4 linked regions of the Cricetulus griseus genome follow. The protein of the gene in region 1 interacts with the protein of each later gene in a biochemical or structural test. Links are inferred from orthologs where the notes say so. Each region holds a gene or a part of one and is shown in the gene's direction. Other genes may lie near its edges.

Region 1 (4,252 bases):
TCTTATAGGTGCTGAAAGGGCATGATGATCATGTGATCACATGCCTACAGTTTTGTGGTAACCGCATAGTTAGTGGTTCTGATGACAACACTTTAAAAGTTTGGTCAGCAGTCACGGGCAAAGTAAGTTCACTTCTTTCCATACTTCTATGAGTCACCATTTTGTGTGTGCAGTCACAGTAAAGTGGGGTGTTGGATCCTCAGCTGTTTTGATAACAAATATTTGATAACAAATAACAAAATGTCTTTAGAAATGTGGTCCTTCTTCCTGTGGTTATGTCACTTTGGCATGGTGGCAGTGGTGTTTTCTTCATTTAAATAGTTTGTTGTCTTTTTCCTTAGATATTCTAAGATTTCTCAGATGCCCCTCTTCTCTGAGCTTCCGTCTCACCTTTCCCATCATGGCTCCCTAACGTCTTCCAAAATATGACTGAGTGATTTGTAATTTTCCTTGTAGACTGCTTTGTTGCTGAGCTATCTATAATTTAGAAATCAAGTAAATCCTGTTAATCTAAAGTTGTCTCAGACTTGAATGGTAAGGAAATGAAGCAGGGGAGGTTTTAAATACTGGGTTGAAGAGCCAAGCAGTAGCTTTATTTCACATAGCATTCCTTAATGAGTCGCTAGTGAATATTGACTTTATCTGTCCAAAGGAGAATTTTTTTTATGAATTAAGTAATCAATCATTTAAAAGGTAAAAGAAGACAGTATGTTTTAAAAAAAAATGTCTTTCGCTGTGTTGTTCCTTGGACAAGACTCTTATAAATACCCAAAGCAGATGTTAAAATTTTCAGAGCAGCTACACGTTTCCAGGATATAATACTAGTTTTGGACTTATCTCAGAGTCTCAGTGTCTGTCTTTACATGTCTAGAGTAGCATGGCCAGCCCCTAACTACTGCCTTAAGGCAGACGGATGCACTGTGGTATGTGGCCACACCCAACTCTCTTGGCATTCTTGCCTTGGTTCTCCTCCATGGGAGGCACCCTTTTGCAGTTTTAATATTATTTAATCATAGTGGTCAGGCTAGAGCTGTTGAACTTGCTTGTATTACATTATGTTTGCTTTCTGCCATGTCTTATGCTTTGTATCAAATGATTCTTCTTAAATTTCTTTACTTCATTTTATTATTTTGTGTTTGTGTGTGTGTACCACATACATGCCAGGTGCCCTCAGAGACCAGAAGAGGGCATCAGATTCCCTGGCATTGGAGTTATAGGTGGTTGTAAGGCACTAGGTGCTGGGACTCAAACCCCAGGTCCCTGAAAGAGCAGCTGGCGCTCTTAGCCACTGAACCATCATCTCTCCAGTCCTGTCTGTTTCATATCATGTTTGCTATGCATGCATAAGCATATACTGCTACAAAATAAACAATTCGGTAATAATGGTGTCATGTAGCATCGATGTGTAGATGCTTTCCTGGTGATCTAATAAAGTTGAATATGTAAGACTTTATTCCAGATTCTAATGAGATGTTAGTATATTTTTTGACTTGCTTTCATTTCTACCTAAAATTAATCATCTGAAGTGTTTTTTCAGTGTCTAAGAACATTAGTGGGACACACAGGTGGAGTATGGTCATCACAGATGAGAGACAATATCATCATTAGTGGATCCACTGACCGGACTCTCAAAGTATGGAATGCTGAGACTGGAGAGTGTATACATACTTTATATGGGCACACTTCCACTGTACGCTGTATGCATCTCCATGAAAAAAGGTAAAGGAAATCCCATTATGATGGGGACTTTCACGTCTGTTACTTGTGAATTTGAGATTCAAATAGTGCTAATGAGCTCCAAAAGTTGATACTAATGATTACAGTGCAATATTCCTTAGTTAGTAAAATCAGGTTATATTGGCTTAAAATTGGAGGATTGTCTTAAAATTTTCTTTTTCATTCAATGACTGTACAATCATTTTTCTTGACGCTCAGCTCTCTAATCCCCTTTGTTGTTCGTTTGGTGACTCATCATCTTCAAAAAAATCATTTTCTTTCTTGACAGTCATATGTAGGAGCAACAAATTCAGTCACTTCGACATTAGCCTGAATCCTTGAGTGACCCACCCACTTTGCCCCCACTCCATCATGTCCCTAGATCTGAACAAACACTGAGGTCCAGGGCTTTCACTTATTTTCTCATTACCTGTCATCTGAACTATGCAGAGATCTCAGGTCCTGACTTTTGCACAGCTGGCAGAGAGCTCTGGTATTAGGATTGTTTCAGCCACGTCTGGCCTGCTAGTCCATTCTTTCCTGGTGCCTCTGCCTGGTGCTTTGTATCTTACCTGCAGTGTCTTCTGCTACAATCATGTCCTTCTGTTGACACATCTTCATTGCACCTAGCTAAAAAATTGTGTTTTCTACTTCATTTGTCAAAAAATATTCTTTTGGCCTGATATGAGAACATGCTGCTAATCTTTGCACTGGAAAGATAGAGACAGGAGAATCCTTGAAGTCACAGCTTTTTAGAGGAGACCCTTCCTCTAAAAGAATGTATCTTAGAAGAATCATTATAACGAGTTCACAGCAGAGCAGCCATGACCTGTAACTCTGTCCATGCTGCTTTATCTATTAAGAACTGTTTTGGTAAGTAGGCTGTACCCTGCAGGTGTGATATATATACAGGGACTCCTTTTTACTTTCAATTTGAACCACTTTGCACAGTGTGTTGTGTGATTAAAATTTAAGGGATGAGTTTCAAGAGACCTTGCATTTCCATGTTGGTTGCATTCATTTTCCCACACTTAATCATTCCACTCTTCCAAATACAGAGACTGACTTTTATCTCTTGGGAATGTGACATAAAGGTACCTGGTTAGCAATCCAGAGGTAACTGCATGGTTGTATCACTCCTCTTTTTAGAACAGTATAATTTTATAACATTGAGCCAATTTCTGTTACTTCTATAGGAATATCTTTAAAAATCTGTATCAGCACATATCTGAAACCGCATTCCCTGCATGGGAAGTATAAGAAAACAGCCCTAGTTTTCTGAGACCCAAATTAAATGTAAAATTTTTTTTTTGAAAAATAATCATATTGAAAAGTTTACTTTCTCAAATAGGTAATAGGAGTTCATAATTGAAATGTAATGGAAGGACAAAGATATTAAAAACAGTTCTGGATTGTTCTAAGTTTAATACCACCTAATTCTGCATTGAGGGTTGAGCTGCGTGTACCATGCTACCATTTCACTTCTAATCAAGATAAATTGTATGTATGGAGAGCTGCTTGCTTCTTGAATAGGGTGAGGTTGTTTCCTTAAGTCATGGACTTCTAGTCTTCCTCACTTCCCATTCCAGGCAGAGTAACTTGAATTTATATCTGAAGGCATTAGGGTAGTGATTCTTGTTAAAGTGTTTCTGTTCTGTTTATGAAGAGAAAGCGAACACTGTTTTGCAGGCTATGTGCATTTGTGCTCTTCAGAATTCTAATACCTTGTTTTCTGTTTCCTCTCTGCAGAGTTGTTAGCGGTTCTCGAGATGCCACTCTTAGGGTTTGGGATATTGAGACTGGCCAGTGTTTACATGTCTTGATGGGTCATGTAGCAGCGGTCCGCTGTGTACAATATGATGGCAGGAGGGTTGTTAGTGGAGCATATGATTTTATGGTGAAGGTGTGGGACCCAGAGACTGAGACCTGTCTACACACGTTGCAGGGACACACTAATAGAGTCTATTCATTACAGGTAAGAAGCTGTCTCACCCATCCACACCCCTAGATGCTCTGGTGATGACTCATAAGATTTTTCTTTTCAGCTAGTTACCGTCAAGTTGCTGTTTATATATACCTTAAAATTACCATGAAGAAAACAATAAATTTCAAAATCATTTAGCTGATTTAATGGCTTCGATTTCTATGATCCATTTTCTCTTTAAAATGCAAATATTTGTCTTAAAACCTGATACTTCAGGGCTGTAAATTTTGCCACATTAATTAATAGATAATCTCATAGGAGAATAACTTGGATCTTAATAAACTCCTTAGCTGAGGATTAATTTGGCCAAAAGCTGCCCCTTTGCCTTGATAACTAAAAGTTGATGGGCCGTGTAATTGTGATTCTATCCCCATTTAAAGTAGCCGTGGAGACTCTCTGCAGAAAGCTACATAGTTGCCCAGGGCCATTGACTGGGGCCATAAAAAGGTGAATCTGACTAACCTGTTATATTTCCTTATATTTGAACATGATGTTTATTAATAGATTATAATATTTCAAAAGCTTCAGTAACTAGACATAAAGCGTGGGTTG
Region 2 (4,799 bases), on another chromosome or scaffold:
TTGCTTTAAAAAAAATGCACGTGATACTTTCTGTGCACGTTCATTTACCTGTATATTGGAAAGGAGACTCCTACCTGTGATACTCTTGGCGGTGCTTTTTTCCTTAAGAACTTTTTAATCGATGCTTCACTGTGAAATGGCCAGTGTGCTCTCTGTAGGTAATATGTGCTGTCAACATATGTACATAGGTTGAAATATTACAGATATTTTTGTCCCAGCTTATTATTCTGGCTTCACAATAAGCCACATGAAAGTCATGTACAAGAACACTAAGGATTAAGGAACGTTGTTTCCTTCGGAGATTGCTGGCAAAATTTTAAAATTAAAAAACACCCACCCTCCGTTAAAACAACCTAGTAAATGGGTAGTAATATACTTGACTGTTAGGTTCCTACCGATTTGGATTGGCAGTTTTCAGAGCTGTTGAGTATCTGTAAATGTTTGTGGCTTTAGTTCCCGTTTCGTAGGAAATGGTGCCACCGTATTAGGTAGATGGGCTATGTGTCTCATCTGAAAATATTAAACTCCATCCCCCCCGCCCCGAGACTACAGTGGTAGCAAAAATAAGCCAGAGATGTAATGTGTATTTAAATACCCAGTTGAGCTGGCTGTTGGTTCTTAAATTAGATTCCATGCTCCGGCTAGAATCAACATGGTTTAAATATTAAAAACTTCATAATTCATAAGGCCAACCCCACCTCTTCCTCACGTACAGCGACGGAAGGTAGAAATATCTGTGAAAACTTGTAGCTACTTAAATACCGTAGGGGGAAATATGCCTAGGTTGGTATGCAAGGACTTGAAAAAATGCTTGACATTACGCTTTTAGCCAGGCCATAAGGGATCTGCTAAGGGATAGATAGATCACTGCTGAAAACACAGAAATGAGAGCTGCTTTTACATTTGTTACCGAACCGCCCCTTGTTTTCCTCCAAAGTACATTTTGTATACTTAAAAATACACACTCATTGGACAAGACTGGGAACCTCAGCTCCCCCACCTTCTGTCTTCAGCTTTCGACTTTCAGGTCCTTGCACAACACCTAAGACGTGCGATACTTTTTTTTTTTCCACTCTAATCCTGGCAGAGAACAGTTCGGAGAGATCTCCCTTCGCGTCTCCACCCTGATCCCCCTCTTCCTAGATTCCACCCGCTGTCTCTTTCCCTCCGCCCTGAGCTCCGCGGGCCCAATCTGTCAGAGAAGTTGTGTACAAACTGCGCCCCTGCTCTGCGCGCGAAGCTCATGGCCCGCGAGGGGTGCGGTCGGCCCGTCGGAGGCGGGACCTCGTGGGACTTCCTTTCCATTGGCTAGCCGCTGGCCCTGGGGCCTTGCTATTGGCCACGACGCTGCCAGTCGGGTGAGCTGGTCCTGCCTCCCTGGAGTTGGGTGAAATAGAGGCGGGCGTCAAGTGTCAGTAGTCGCGGGGCAGGTACGCGCGCTTGCAGCTTGCTTGGTGGAGCTCGGAGGTGGCGGGAGAGGGTTCCGGCGAGCGCTGGGGCGGGGCGGGAGAAAGTGGCGGCTGGAGGACCTCGGCGGTGACGCGTGGCCGAGCCCAGGAGTCCCGATCTACGTGCCCGCCTTCGTGAGCCGCTGGCCGCCGGCCTAGGGGTCCCCCCCGCAGCCGCCCCGCGCCGAGTCCGCAGTCCGGCGCCAGCCCGGGCGAGGTGGGAATCGCGATCACCCGGTGATCCACGCCCGTAGACCCCCCGACCGCCCATGGCCACGCGGGTGCTGACCATGGGCGCCCGCCTGGGACCCGTGTCCCAGCCACCGGCCACACAGGACGAGCCGGTGTTCGCGCAGCTCAAGCCGGTGCTGGGCGCTGCGAACCCGGCCCGCGACGCGGCGCTCTTCCCCGGCGACGATCTCAAACACGCGCACCACCACCCGCCTGCGCAGCCCGCGCCGCCGCCGGCCGCCGGCCCGCGGCTGCCCTCGGAGGAGCTGGTCCAGGTAAGCAGAGCGGCCGGCCTCCCTCCCCCGGCTCGGGCGTGTCCCGCCACTGCGAGGCGCGGGCGACAGGGGCCGCTCCAGGCTGGGACGCGCGGGAGCCGGTGCCCGGGTGGGCAGCCCCGCCCTGCGCTTCCAGACGGGGCGCCGGGGAGTGGATGGGGGAGCGGAGGGCCCGGGGCATCGCCCACCCCGATCTGCCCAGAGGAGGCTGAACACAGCCGCGCGCTCACGCGCACCTTGTCTGTTTTCTTGCGTGGGAATGAAAGCTTATATCCACGCTCAACTTAAATTGCGTCACCTTGACCACTCTCTCCGGATGGTCCTGGCCTAGGAAGTCCACCTGCCTGCGTCCTTCGGGGATGTGGAAATTGCAGATGGAGTCCTGGGGTTCCATACCCCTGTAGCTCACCCTAGAATGGGCTGTAAGGCCCCGTTTGGGAAACTAGGGTCAGAAGATCTAAGGTTGTATTAGAACACTGCTTTTTTCCTAAAAAAGGAACACGCGTACAAAAAGGCCACGGGTGTTGTTTTCTTCATGTGCGCGTAAATTTCCTCCCGGAGTCGCGTTGAAAGCTGGCAGTTGGCTTTTACACTTGCCCAGCAGCCGAATTAGAGCAAGCGCCTGTTTCTTTCGCCCACGCACGGGAGTCATATAGCCCAAGAAAAAAAAAAAAAAAACTTCCCGGGACTTTTAGCTACTCCCAAAGAAAAAAAAAATTGGAAACAGACCCACATGCAAACAGCTGGAAGAGCTAAAATCAGAAACCACTAACCGCCGCGGGAGCGCAGTGCACGAAAGGGTTTAGTTTGGTTTATTTCAAGAGGCTTGGTTTAATAGCCTCTTGCCGTATTGTGTATTTGCACCCAGCACCTACTTCGCGGGGTCTGCCAGTGTCGTCGTGCTTTGAGAGGACAGTGGCATTTGTCAGATGTGACTCACATGGCCAGAGCATGAATCTTTATTTTTAAGTCGTGCATATCCGGGAAATCCCGTCCGTCGTCGTCCACAACCAGATCTTAATGATCTGAGGTCCGAGATGAAATTCTTTTGAAATTTAGGAGCAAAAATAGGACTCCTGTTTACCAACTGAGGTGCAGTGGTTTCTTATTCTGTGAACTATTTCATTTAGTTGGGTTTTGTCCTTTTTCTGAGCTGCTCTTCAATGTCAAGAGGAATTGAGAGGAAAAATTAAGCTTTTATATGTTGGGAGAGAATTGCTGGGAAGACAGGCAGGTCGGAAGCTGCATTGTCTATTTCTTAAACAATCAGGGCCTGGGGGATACTTGGTTGTTTCACTTTGGCAGTTTTCTCTCGGGAGATAGCAGTAGGGTGAGGGATGACTGCGCTTTTTACAGAGGAAGGGGGAATGTAGCATTGGCCCACGGAGAGGACATGATAAATGTTTTGCTGATGAGTGTGCTGGCAATCGAGCAGCCTCTCCCCACCCACGGGCGTCCTAGCACCAGTCTACCAAGGGAATGATTTTCTCCTTGATAATTAAAGATCTGTTTTAGATAGGGAAATGAATAGGAACATTTCATTATTACATTAACCAATTACCGAATCTGCTGGTTAAAATCAACATTTACATCAAGCGTTGAACCTGTAATTGTTTTGTTTTAGCGGATACAAGGGTTTGCTTCAAACATTGGATTTTTTTTTTTTTTTTTTTTTGTTAATCAAAAGGCACTGAAATGGCCAGAGAACATTTCATGTTAGGCCTGAGATACCTAACTCTACCCACATAAATATTATTTTTTTAAGGTTTGCAAAGGTTTTAGTTTTCAAATGAAACATGTTAAATGTAATGGGTATGAACAGAAGTGGGGCAGTTTGGGTCATACTCTGATACTGTACTTAGATTGCAGAATTATCTTTCTTGGGGTGAGACTTGATTGCGTTGGAAAGGAAGATGTTTTGTCCTTGCCCCCACCCCCTTGCCTCTTTCACTTTTGTCTGCCGATGATTTGGGGAGTGATTTTACTAAAGACATGCCATACAGACTTTTGGTTAACCAATAATTACACAATTGACAAAATAAAACTCTGTGTTTATAAGCAGCTCTAGGAGCTGGCCCCCGTACCCATACTAGTGTTGTGAGTTTTTAGTTAGTCCTGTTTGTTTATCCTACCTGAGTGAATTGGTAGACTCATTGTGTATTTGTATCTCTTCTTTTTTAGACAAGATGTGAAATGGAGAAGTATCTGACACCTCAGCTTCCTCCAGTTCCAATTGTTTCAGAGCATAAGAAGTATAGACGAGACAGTGCCTCAGTGGTAGACCAGTTCTTCACTGACAGTGAAGGCTTACCTTACAGTATCAACATGAACGTCTTCCTCCCCGACATCACCCACCTGAGAACTGGCCTCTACAAATCCCAGAGACCATGCGTTACACAGATCAAGACAGAGCCTGTTGCCATTTTCAGCCACCAGAGCGAGACGACCGCCCCTCCTCCAGCCCCTACCCAGGCCCTCCCTGAGTTCAACAGTATATTCAGCTCCCATCAGAACACAGCTCCAGAGGTGAACAATATCTTCATCAAACAAGAACTTCCTACGCCAGATCTTCATCTCTCTGTCCCTTCCCAGCAGGGCCACCTGTACCAGCTATTGAATACACCGGATCTAGACATGCCTAGTTCTACAAACCAGACAGCAATAATGGACACCCTTAACATATCCATGTCTGCCGCCATGGCGGGCCTTAACACACACACCTCTGCTGTTCCGCAGACTGCAATGAAACAGTTCCAGGGCATGCCCCCTTGCACATACACCATGCCAAGTCAGTTTCTTCCACAGCAGGCCACTTACTTTCCCCCATCGCCACCGAGCTCAGAGC
Region 3 (5,045 bases), on another chromosome or scaffold:
CGTCACCCCACTCGGGGCCCCGCCCCAATTGGCAGCGAACAGGGCAAGTCCTCTGGCACCGAGAGTCGGGGAGGGGGGGGTCTCCCACTGCCTACCCTGCTCTGCAACAGTCCCCAGTACAGGACAACCTCAGGCAGCGCTGGGGAGTCCTAGGCAAGTCCCTTCTCCTCCTGCCTCAGTTGCCTCATCTGTGGAATGGATGGGAACAGACGTTTTCCTTAGTCTGTTGGGAGGATTGAACGAGATAACAAAAGTTTTCGGCTTGTCACAAGCATGTCCCATGACTGCAGGGTGCTGAACCAGCTGACCCAGGTCCTTGTTGGCCAGGCTGAGACCCCACCCCGCCCAGGATCACCACACCACGCTTGTGTTCTAAGCACCAAAGACCCCAGCAAGGGGTTCTGAGATCTTTGGTGGGAGGTCTCGGGTGTTTGAGACAGAGACCACCAACTTCCTCTGAAGTTCTCCAAGCCTTTACCAGGAAAGCTTCCCCTTGGCTGCTGCCCTTGTAAGCCCACCCTGTGGAGCAGAGGTTTGTGTTGGGCTTTGCTCCGAAGGGAGCTTTCTAGTCGTGGGTACAGGTCTTTCTTTGACTTTACCTTCGGCTCCCCCAGTCTTGCAGCAACGGAATGTGTGTGTGTGTGGAGCTATGTATACATTTTACTCAGTTCTCAGAAGGTGTGATGTTGTGATGATTCCAAACCCCGAGCCCTTTCCCGCAGAGACTCTGGACAATTAGTGACCCTGGCTACACACAAGCAGGTGAGGCATTAACTCAACTGACCGCTGAAGACCCTCACCCTTCTGACTGCGAAGGACTGTTTGAGTTTTCAGGAAACATCAAATTCCTGGGTCTTCTGATGGTGGTGGGAGGGACAAGGCAGAGTGGCCCCAAAGCAAGGGCTCCATGTCGGGGAGAGGTGGTTTATAGTTCCAGCACTCCTGAGCACCTTACTCTGAGTAATTTTCTAAGCAGCCACACTGGGAGAGGGACAAAAATGTGTTCAGGTGGAAACCAGACACACACTCCATCCTTGCCCAAAGACAACTAATTCTGCTGGTTGGGAGGTGAGAGCAGTCGCCCAGTCTGTACCTGGAGTCTCAGCATGGCAGTTCCAGCTGGCCTGGGGTCCTGACCCTGGGGCGGGGGCGGGCTACCCGGTTAATTCTTACGTGTTGCTGCTGTCTCCTCACTTGCAAATAGTGTGGACCAGAAAGGTTTACTTCAGTCCACCCTAGAGGAACCTATCCCCTTCCACCGGCTTTACCTGTCCCTAAGTCACAGGGCCCAGGGTTCACTTTTCAGTACTCAGGCTGCTGGCCTGGCCTGGGTCTAGGTCATGATCTAGGCAGCTGAGCTCAGTTCCCCTGGGCTCCTTTTACAGAGTCGCTGCTTGACCTTGGGATCCACACTTTTTCTAGGTCTTCCAGGAGACCAGAATCTTCCTTTAGGAGCTGTTCAGGCCCACTGGCCCTCTCTGCCCCAACAGCGGGATTGATAATGGATTAAGACAGGCTACGGGAAACCGGGCTCCAGTCGGCTTTCTGAACCGTCTAGGTGAGCTGTCTGGAGCCTGCAGATGCCGGTTGGTGGGCAGGGCCTGGCGGGCAGCCCCGCCCCTCCGCTTGGGTGGCTCCGCCTGCGGAACCTAGTTTCCGAGGAACTTTTCGGTAAGGCGGGCCTCCTGCGAAGCCTGGCGGGCGCCGCCGCCATGGACGAGCTGCCTTTCGGTGAGGCGGCTGTGGAACAGGCGCTGGACGAGCTGGGCGAACTGGACGCCGCACTGCTGACCGACATCCAAGGTGCGTGGCCCGGGGCTCCTGCGCGGCCTGTGCGGGGTCGCATGTCCTGGGAGGTCACTTGGCCGGGAGCTTCTGCGCGTGCGTGCGTACTGCGCAGTTGTGCGCCTCGGATTGAGGGTTAGCTCTCCAGCTTGTGGTGGGCTTGGTTTCTGGACTCGCTGAGCATCCGCTGAATTCCAGGTTGGGCCCTGTGGACAGTTCACGGGCCGACCTGGGTTTTCTCGTTTCTTGGATGCACCAAAATCCCCAAGCAAGCCCACAAACGGATTTTTACATGCACCTGGGCATGCAAGTATCTGGCTACTTTGGATCGAGATCAGGGAGGTCTCTTAGGTGTGTTAGTGCTGGGGGGTGCCCCGGCATCAGCAAGCAAAGATACTTTCTAGCGGAGGACAAGGTAAGAGGCAAAGGCCACTGGGGCGCTACCTAAGTTTGAGGAGTTGGGAGTGGGGGGCGTGAGACAAGGAACACAGCTTCTGCTCTCCGAAATATTTTTCAAATTTTGCTATTCTGGGGCAGTAACCCAGGATCTAGAACATATTAACAGGCTTTCTGCCCTGAGCCACACCCTGGGCCACTTAGATCTTTTAAAACATCGCTTGAACTTGCCCAGCTTGATTCATCTCCATCTTCAACCACCACCACCAGCTGGGGTGGGTGTGGGGGAAGAAAACAAAAACAAACTGGCATTTGGTGGCGCTCGCCTTTAATCCCAGCACTCAGGAGGCAGAGGCAGGTGGATCTCTGTGAGTTCGAGGCTAGCCTGGTCTCCAGAGAAAGTGCCAGGATAGGCTCCAAAGCTACACAGAGAAACCCTGTCTCGAACCCCCCTCCAAAAAAAAAAAAAAAAAAAAACCAAACAAACCAAACAAACAAACAACAAAAAAAACCCCAAACTTTCCATACCATAAGATGTATACATGTTAGGCGGGCCATTCAATAACCTCTGGTGGCTTGTCAGCAGTCTCGAAACATTGAATCTCTCTTGCCTGTTTGAGGGCTTCACACTCTTCTCCACCCCAGACAACCACGAATGTGTGTTATCTATAAACTACAATGGTGCCCTGGGATTACTGTAGAGTGTTCTCTCCCTTACCCCCATCCCATGATCTGTTGATAGACACCTAGCGTGTGCTGTGCCTAGATCCTCATTGAGCTCCAGAGGCAAGCCTCTGGGAGAATCACTCAGAGACCCACGTGTGCTTGTCGCTGGGGCTAGAGAGGGGTGACTTGGGGGTAGAGGTTGGGTCACCTAAGAGGAATGAGGGTTGAAAAACATCTGGGCAGGCCTGAGTTCCAGATATGGCTAGGGCAGTGGGAGAAGGGACAGGAGAAGGAGAGTGACGTTGTTTAGAAAGCCCCTCTTCAGCACTGGGGTAGGCCATCATAACATGGGTGGCAAACCCTTCTTGAGCACTTGGTGTGTGGCAGGCACTATGATGAGGATCTCAGTGGGTCTTCTGACAATCCCAGTTGGAAAACATTTTCATCTCACAGATGAGAGACTGAAAAGCAGGCTAAATGACTTGTCCAAGGTCACACAGCCATAGCAAGGCAGAGCCAGAATTCAGACTCAGGCTGCTGGCTCAAGAGCCTGGATCCTTGGCTCCCAAGGCTGGATTAAGAAGTCAGCCATGCAGCTGTCTCCCTCAGCCCAGAGCAGCATTGGTCATAAGACTGGAAAGTGGCAGGGAGAGCCAGCCAATGCCTGGAGCCCAACAGCCCACTACCACCTGTTGTCCTACAAATGTCCAGTGATGTGGGACTTACAGCCTTCTTTCTTTCTGAGGGTGATGCTGAGCTCAGAGCATCAAGTCCTGCTGCTGGCTGTGACCTCAAAGCAGCTCCTCCTTGTTCCTGGTGTCAGGTCACTAGAGGCTGGGGAGAGGAGCCTGTATGGGGACTACTGGGAGGCTGGTGGCACTGTGCACTGAGGACAGAGGAGGCAAATGGACATAGTTCTGGTCTGAGACTGGCTACTTACTCTTGGAGCCCTGGGGAGCCCAAGGCCTGGGAGAGACAGCTCCTCAATAGCTGGTCTGTCTGTTGGCCCAAGATGTATGCCTAGGTCCAATGCCACTTACTGAGAAGCCCTCCTGAGTTCTGACCCCTTTCTTGTGCTGGCCTTACACTGGATCTGTCTATGTTCTAATATTGTATGACTCTCCTTAGGGAGAGGTGTCTATGTATCTGATAGGGCACTGTGACAGACTAAAGAAAGGATTCCGTCCAAGTCCAGCTTCATGCACCGGTGAGTTTATTGGTGTCTTAGTATTATATTGCATGACCACAGCAACTCTTACAAAGGAAGCATTTCATTGGTTTCAGAGGTTTAGTCCATTGTCATCATGGCAGGAATGCATAGTGGCATATACACAGACATAGTGCTGGAGAAGTAGCTGAAAGTTCTCTATCCAGATCCGAAGGCCAGAAAAGAGACACTGGGCCTGGCTTGAGCTTTTGAAACCCAAAAGCCCACCCCTAGCAACATACCTCTAAGAAGGCCACACCTACTTCAACAAGGTAATACCTCCTAATCCCTCTCAAGTAGTTCTATGCCTTGATGATCAGCTGTTCAAATCTGTGAGCCTGTGGGGGCCATTCCTATTCAAACCTCCACAGTTGGTGTGGGTGAGCAACCACAGGATCCTGCAGACTCCCAGACAGCTGTGTCACTGCCAGGTCTCACTCCAGCAGAGTGACGACCTTTAGAAAGTTGTACCTGGAGCCACCACCACTCCCACCCCTTCAGGTAACCTACCTCTTGTATACTCTGGCCTCCCAAGATTTTGTGCAGCTGGGTGGCACGAGGATGTAGTGGGTAGACTGCCAGGTGAAGGGGCTGGAGAGATGGCTCAGTGGTTAAAAGCGCTGGCTGCTCCTCCAGAGGACCCAGGTTCAATTCCTAGCAACCACATGGAAGTTCACAACTGTCTGTAACTCCTGTTCCAGGGGATCCAACACCCTCACACAGACATACATGCAGGTAAAACGCTGATGTACATCAAATACAAATAGGTAAATTATTAAAAATAAAAAGGGAATCTCAGCTAAGGGTCCTGTAGCCTTCCCCCTAAGAGAGTGTTAACAGTCACATTGCTTGTTTTGTAGACCCAGCTGTCACTGCTCTTTGGTTTGGTTTGTTGCACTGACTATGTGACAAGCATTCTGTAGGTCACCACCAGCTTTGCTACCCATACTCCTCCCCTGGGATGTCTCCTGTCCCTAGTTCCACCAAGCAC
Region 4 (4,981 bases), on another chromosome or scaffold:
CTTAGCACAGCGAATGTAAACGGTTAGATAGCTGTGGGGGTTTTCGAGACAAGGTTTCTCTGTGGCTTTGGAGGTTGTCCTGGCACTCGCTCTGTAGACCAGGCTGGTCTCAAACTCACAGAGATCCGCCTGGCTCTGCCTCCGTAGTGCTGGGATTAAAGGTGTGCGCCACCACCGCCTGGCTGATACCTGTGGCTTGTCAACTAGGGTCACCGTGGAATCGCATGAAAGAAATACTGTTAAATTCATGGGGATGGGCTTTAACTTTAAAGGACTTGGCGGAAAGTTGCATCCTGTTAAGTTACCATGTGCTGTTGTTACCAGCAGGTAACCATGTCATCTCAGCAGCCAGGGGCATCACCAGCGCGCTGGTCGGGACCCGCGGGAAGGGCGCGCCCAGCTTTGAGCGATAGCTGGCAGTCGCTGAGGGACAGGAGACAGGCTGACCCCGAGGAAGGGCCCCGGGTTTATTGCATACGCTGCAAGTGGAGTCAGGACGGCCTGTCCTTGCCACCGGGCACCGTGCGGTGTGTCCCGCTCGGTCACTGTCCTGGGGGGGGGGGGTCAGCGTGGTTCCTTGTATCATGCTCCCCCTAACACGAGGCAAGTGTCCTTCTGGGGTCCTGGGAAGAGGTCACCGCAGACCTTCGCGTGCTCCGGAAGCGGTTTAGCCGGAATGGGTCGGGCAGGGGTGAGAAAGGGCAGCGGATCCGGCGGGAGGCGGGTGTGAGAGGCTGAGCTCATTCATTCGGAGATGCACGGAAACCCTTGGGGACATCCTCACCTCCCGTGGACCCCCCGAGAGGCCTGATGGCCTGCGGGCGGGGCGATGTGTGCCGGAGAGCAGGAGGGGCGTGGGTAGCTGAATGAATGAATGAATGAATGAATGTATAAATGAATGAATGAGCGAACCAATGAATGGACGGACGGGAGGACCGGGAGGCACCGATGAATCCAAGGGCTCGCTGGCACTGGGGACCTCACGCCACGCGCCGCGGTGACCTTGGGGACACCGGGTCGGGGACTCTGGCCCGGAACTCTGCGTCTCGGGGGCGGGGAGGACGCACGGGCGCGCGGGAGGACGGCGGACGCGGGATCTTCACCCCGGCGGCCCGGGCGCGCCCCCCCGGAGCCCGGCAGGGGACGGCTGCGGCCCGATGGCTGCGCTCGGCCGGGCCCGCACCCCGCCCGCGCGGCCCACGCGGCTCCCCGCGGGCCCCGGACGCCCCGAGCGCTCGCGCCAAGAATCTCCCGCGTCCGCCGGCCCCGCCCCGCGCAGGCCCCGCCCACCGCGTCGCGCCCCGCCCCTCCGGCGCGCAGGCCCTGTGACTTACTCCCGCCCCTTTGCCCGAGACCCCGCCCACCTCCGGCCCGCAGGCCCCGCCCCTCGGGAAGCTCCTGGCCGGCCCGCGCGACGAAGGGGCGGGGCCGGGGGCTGCGGCGGCCGCTGAGGGCTGGCGGGCCGGGGGCGGGGCCTGCGCGGGGAGGGGCGGGGCCGAGGGCGGGGCGGGGGCCGGAGGGCGGGCCCGGGCCGGTGCGCGCGCTGCTGGGATTTTAAATGTCCCGCTCGAAGCCGGGCGCAGGAGCAGCCGGCTCGGCAGCCAGCGCGGTGTAGGGGGCAGGCGCGGATCCCGCCAGCGCCCGGCGCCCGGCCGCCGCCTCCCGCCTCCCGCCTCCTGCTTCCCGCCCGCCCGCCGGCCTCCCGCCTCCCGTGCGCTCGCTCGCTCGCCCGCCCGCCCGCTCGCCCTCCGCAAGCAGGACACAGCCTCGGGTACGACTCCCGCGCGTCCGGACCGGACGGGACCGCACAGCACCGGGCCGGGCCCGGGCGAGCGGGTGGGGGTGGGGTAGGGCCGGGTGGCCCGGTCCCCCGGGGGTCTCCGCTCGCGTCGCCCCTGCCCGGTGGCTCTGAGACGGACGGGTCACGGGGAGCTGTGCACGGGGACCCCGGCAGCCCCGGCTCCGGCGCGATGGTGGATGGGTCGGGGGTCCCCTCGGAGGGCGTCCCGGGCCTCCACCCCCGGCCTCGGGTTCGAACCCGGGGTCGCAGGCTGCCAGGGGCGCCCGCGGGTGACAAGCCGCCCGGCCGATCGCCATCTTCCCGGCCCGGGCCCCGGAGGCTCCGGAGGCTCCGGCCGCCGCCGCCGCTGCCCGCGCGGGAGGGAGGGGAGGGGAGGGGAGGGGTCGCGCTCACCGAGGTGCCCGCTTGGTGTAACCCCCAGGTCTGAGATCGGAGCCCTGCCCGCGCCATGCCACGGGAGAGGAAGGAGAGGTGAGCGGCCTCGCTGCTGCAGGGGGGGAGGAGGGAGGGGTGGTGGGGGAGGGGCGGCGGGGGCGGGGGTGGGGGGGCAGCATCTCCCTGACACCCAGCCTCTGCAGAGATGCCCAGGACCACGGCGGCATCAGGGAAGAAGGTGGCCCTGACTCCTCGGTGCGCTCCAGGAAAAGGAAGGCGAATGTGGCCGTTGTGAGTACAAAGGACACAGGTTGGGAAGGACCCCCCCCCACCGCCGCCCCCCGGTTACCTGGGTACCCGATTTGGGTCTTCCCACCCACCAGCGAAGAGAGTTGGTCGGTGGGGAGGTTTCATTTAGTTTAATGTAACTCAGCCTAACAAACTTTCTATCCCCCCTTTCTCTCCGTCTCTGGGTTGCTCCATGTGTTTGTTCCCTTGGTGGATTGGGATTTTGTTGTTGTTGTTGTTTTTGTTAGTTTTTGCAAGATCCAGATGAAGAAATCGCCAGAGTTGACAAGACTGTGAAAAGCCAGGATAGCAGTCAGGTAGGTCTTTCTCTTGAGTTCCATGCTTTCTTTCTTCCAAGTTTCCCAAACCAGAGCCGCAGGCCACATGGCCGAACCACGGGAGCCTGTCAGTGTGGCCTGGCTTCTCTTGGGCCTGGGGTTGTGGGAAGGGTTTGTGTTTCTTAAGTAGCACCTCTGAGCTTACAGGTACTGAAGCCTGAAGGAACCAGAGGGAGCATCATATAATTTGGTCCTCTGTAAGCCCGGGAGGAAAGAGACTCAGAAGGCAACCCAGAGAGAGCCCTTTGCAAGCCCATAGCAAAGCTGGGCCTATAGCCTTGGTGCCAAAGGCCAGTGACTTGGAGGATAGGATTCCCAACTACTCCCTCATCCTCATGTGTGGTTTTATTGTGTCAAATATGGACTTCTTCCATCCCTTTAGGTCAAATTTCAAACTTTTATCCTCTTGCTAAGAATGATGGTACGATCCTTTAATTCCAGCAATAGGGAAGCAAAGGTGGGAGATCTGAGCTCCAGGATAGCCCAGACCATATATAGTGAGATTCTATTGGAAAAACAAAAATGAAGACTTTTCTCTTTGTGGCCACCATCACTTAACCACTTTGATCTCTGCTGTTTGGGCTTTGCCTGGTCTCAGCAGGGGTCTGAAGTGACGTATGTTTCAACCAGTATTTCACTGGCTGCTCCATTTCTGTCCCTCCCTGCGTAGTGCCTGCCAGATCTTTCGAATGCAGCCTGGTATCATAATATCAGCAGATCCTTGCAGAGAGAGTTTGTATTATCTCTTTGCCTCCAGAAATGGCTGGAGACTATAGTTATGGCTCCAGCGGGGGAAACAGCCTATCTCGAAGGGGCTGGTGAGACCTTCAGCCTTCATCACAGATAAAGTGAGCAAGAACAGTATTCTGTTGACCTCATCTCTTGTCCCAAAGAGGTTAGCAGTGACTTGTAGAGCAGCGAGAGGCAGCCAGTTCTGAATAATGCTTTCTGGGCAATGATGTCCTGGCACCCAGAACTACAGTAATGTGTATTTCTAGAGAGGACCCCTTTAAAAAGTCAGTTTCTCGTCCTGTTAGAAAAAAATCCCCCAAAGAAAGGAATTTATTATAAGGTAACCATGCTTTGGAGGATTCAATTGTTTGCATTGCCAGCCCTGTTTTCAATAGAAATTTCCAAGTGAAAATGAAGCAAGCCATCCATGATGGCTTTGTGGAGATTCAGGCTCACTTCTGCTCTCAGGATAACCATAGCAGTGTTCAGAGTGTCCAAGAAAGGACTGGTTCCTTGTCTGGGCTGTGGAGACCCACAAATGGGGCAGCAGCAAGAATCCAATTGTAACTGTCACATCAGTTCCTATGAGAAGGCCATTTTCAAGGTTGTCCAAGATGAGCTTACAAACTGCTCATGTACTGTATTTTCCTTTTCAGTGAAGACTCATGAACTTTGTGGCGTTTTGTGTTTGTCTGAACAGCACAGAATTTTTCTGTGGAGTTGTGAACCCCAGTGCAACAACTTTGAGCCAGTGAGAGCAGTCATATTAAGTTCAGTGATGCTGAACATCAACAAAGATCTTTGTTTTTGTTTTTTTATTGTTCTGTTTTTTTGAGACAGGGTTTCTCTGTGGCTTTGGAGGCTGTCCTGGAACTAGCTCTTGTAGACCAGGCTGGTCTCAAACTCACAGAGATCCACCTGCCTCTGCCTCCCGAGTGCTGGGATTAAAGGCGTGCGTCACCACCACCCGACCACCTGGCAAGATCTTTGATTCTTCAGCTGTTATTTTTGCTTTTGAAACAGAGTCCCTGTATGTGAACCAGGCTGACCTCAAACTTAGTGAATCCCTGCCTCCAGCCTCCAGAGTGCTAGGATTAGAAGCGTGTACCCTACCACCTGAGTTATTCTAAATGAGAAGAATGCCCTGTTGTAATAAAAATCTATTACTTCCCTTGGTTTTATTGAGACAGGGTTTCTCTTTGTAGCCTTAGATGTCCTAGAAGTCACTCTGTAGATGAGACTGGCCTCGGACCCATGGAGATCCACCTGCCTTTGCCTCCTGAGTTCTGGGATTAAGGTGTACATTACCACTGCCTGGCAAGACATAGCTTTCTTTGAAGCTGAATACTAGTCAGAATTACTTTTCCACTTGTTTGGCATGAGGGAAAAAACCCAGTATAAGGATAAAATGTAGTGAGCCATAGTTGCAGTGATCTCAAAGTCAGGC

The links. The genes of interacting proteins can lie anywhere in the genome.
Region 2: the proteins of Fbxw7 (region 1) and Klf5 form a complex in vitro, tested with the Homo sapiens proteins (2 studies listed by BioGRID, with this or other methods). The link is inferred for Cricetulus griseus from reciprocal best matches to the Homo sapiens genes FBXW7 and KLF5.
Region 3: the proteins of Fbxw7 (region 1) and Srebf1 form a complex in vitro, tested with the Homo sapiens proteins (3 studies listed by BioGRID, with this or other methods). The link is inferred for Cricetulus griseus from reciprocal best matches to the Homo sapiens genes FBXW7 and SREBF1.
Region 4: of the proteins of Fbxw7 (region 1) and Ccne1, one has a biochemical effect on the other in vitro, tested with the Homo sapiens proteins (18 studies listed by BioGRID and IntAct, with this or other methods). The link is inferred for Cricetulus griseus from reciprocal best matches to the Homo sapiens genes FBXW7 and CCNE1.

What each region holds. Positions count from the first base shown.
Region 1 is NW_023276806.1:69,439,340-69,443,591, reverse strand, and holds part of Fbxw7 (F-box/WD repeat-containing protein 7), read left to right. Parts: intron 1-8; coding exon 9-122; intron 123-1,537; coding exon 1,538-1,719; intron 1,720-3,465; coding exon 3,466-3,691; intron 3,692-4,252. UniProt on the Homo sapiens protein: Substrate recognition component of a SCF (SKP1-CUL1-F-box protein) E3 ubiquitin-protein ligase complex which mediates the ubiquitination and subsequent proteasomal degradation of target proteins.
Region 2 is NW_023276807.1:251,130,442-251,135,240, forward strand, and holds the start of Klf5 (Krueppel-like factor 5), read left to right. Parts: upstream 1-1,436; 5' UTR 1,437-1,717; coding exon 1,718-1,954; intron 1,955-2,895; exon of another isoform or gene 2,896-3,046; intron 3,047-4,135; coding exon 4,136-4,799. UniProt on the Homo sapiens protein: Transcription factor that binds to GC box promoter elements. Activates the transcription of these genes.
Region 3 is NC_048600.1:74,353,278-74,358,322, reverse strand, and holds the start of Srebf1 (sterol regulatory element-binding protein 1), read left to right. Parts: upstream 1-1,682; 5' UTR 1,683-1,712; coding exon 1,713-1,803; intron 1,804-5,045.
Region 4 is NC_048602.1:233,985-238,965, forward strand, and holds the start of Ccne1 (G1/S-specific cyclin-E1), read left to right. Parts: upstream 1-1,618; 5' UTR 1,619-1,771; intron 1,772-2,222; 5' UTR 2,223-2,249; coding exon 2,250-2,272; intron 2,273-2,379; coding exon 2,380-2,467; intron 2,468-2,712; coding exon 2,713-2,781; intron 2,782-4,981. UniProt on the Homo sapiens protein: Essential for the control of the cell cycle at the G1/S (start) transition.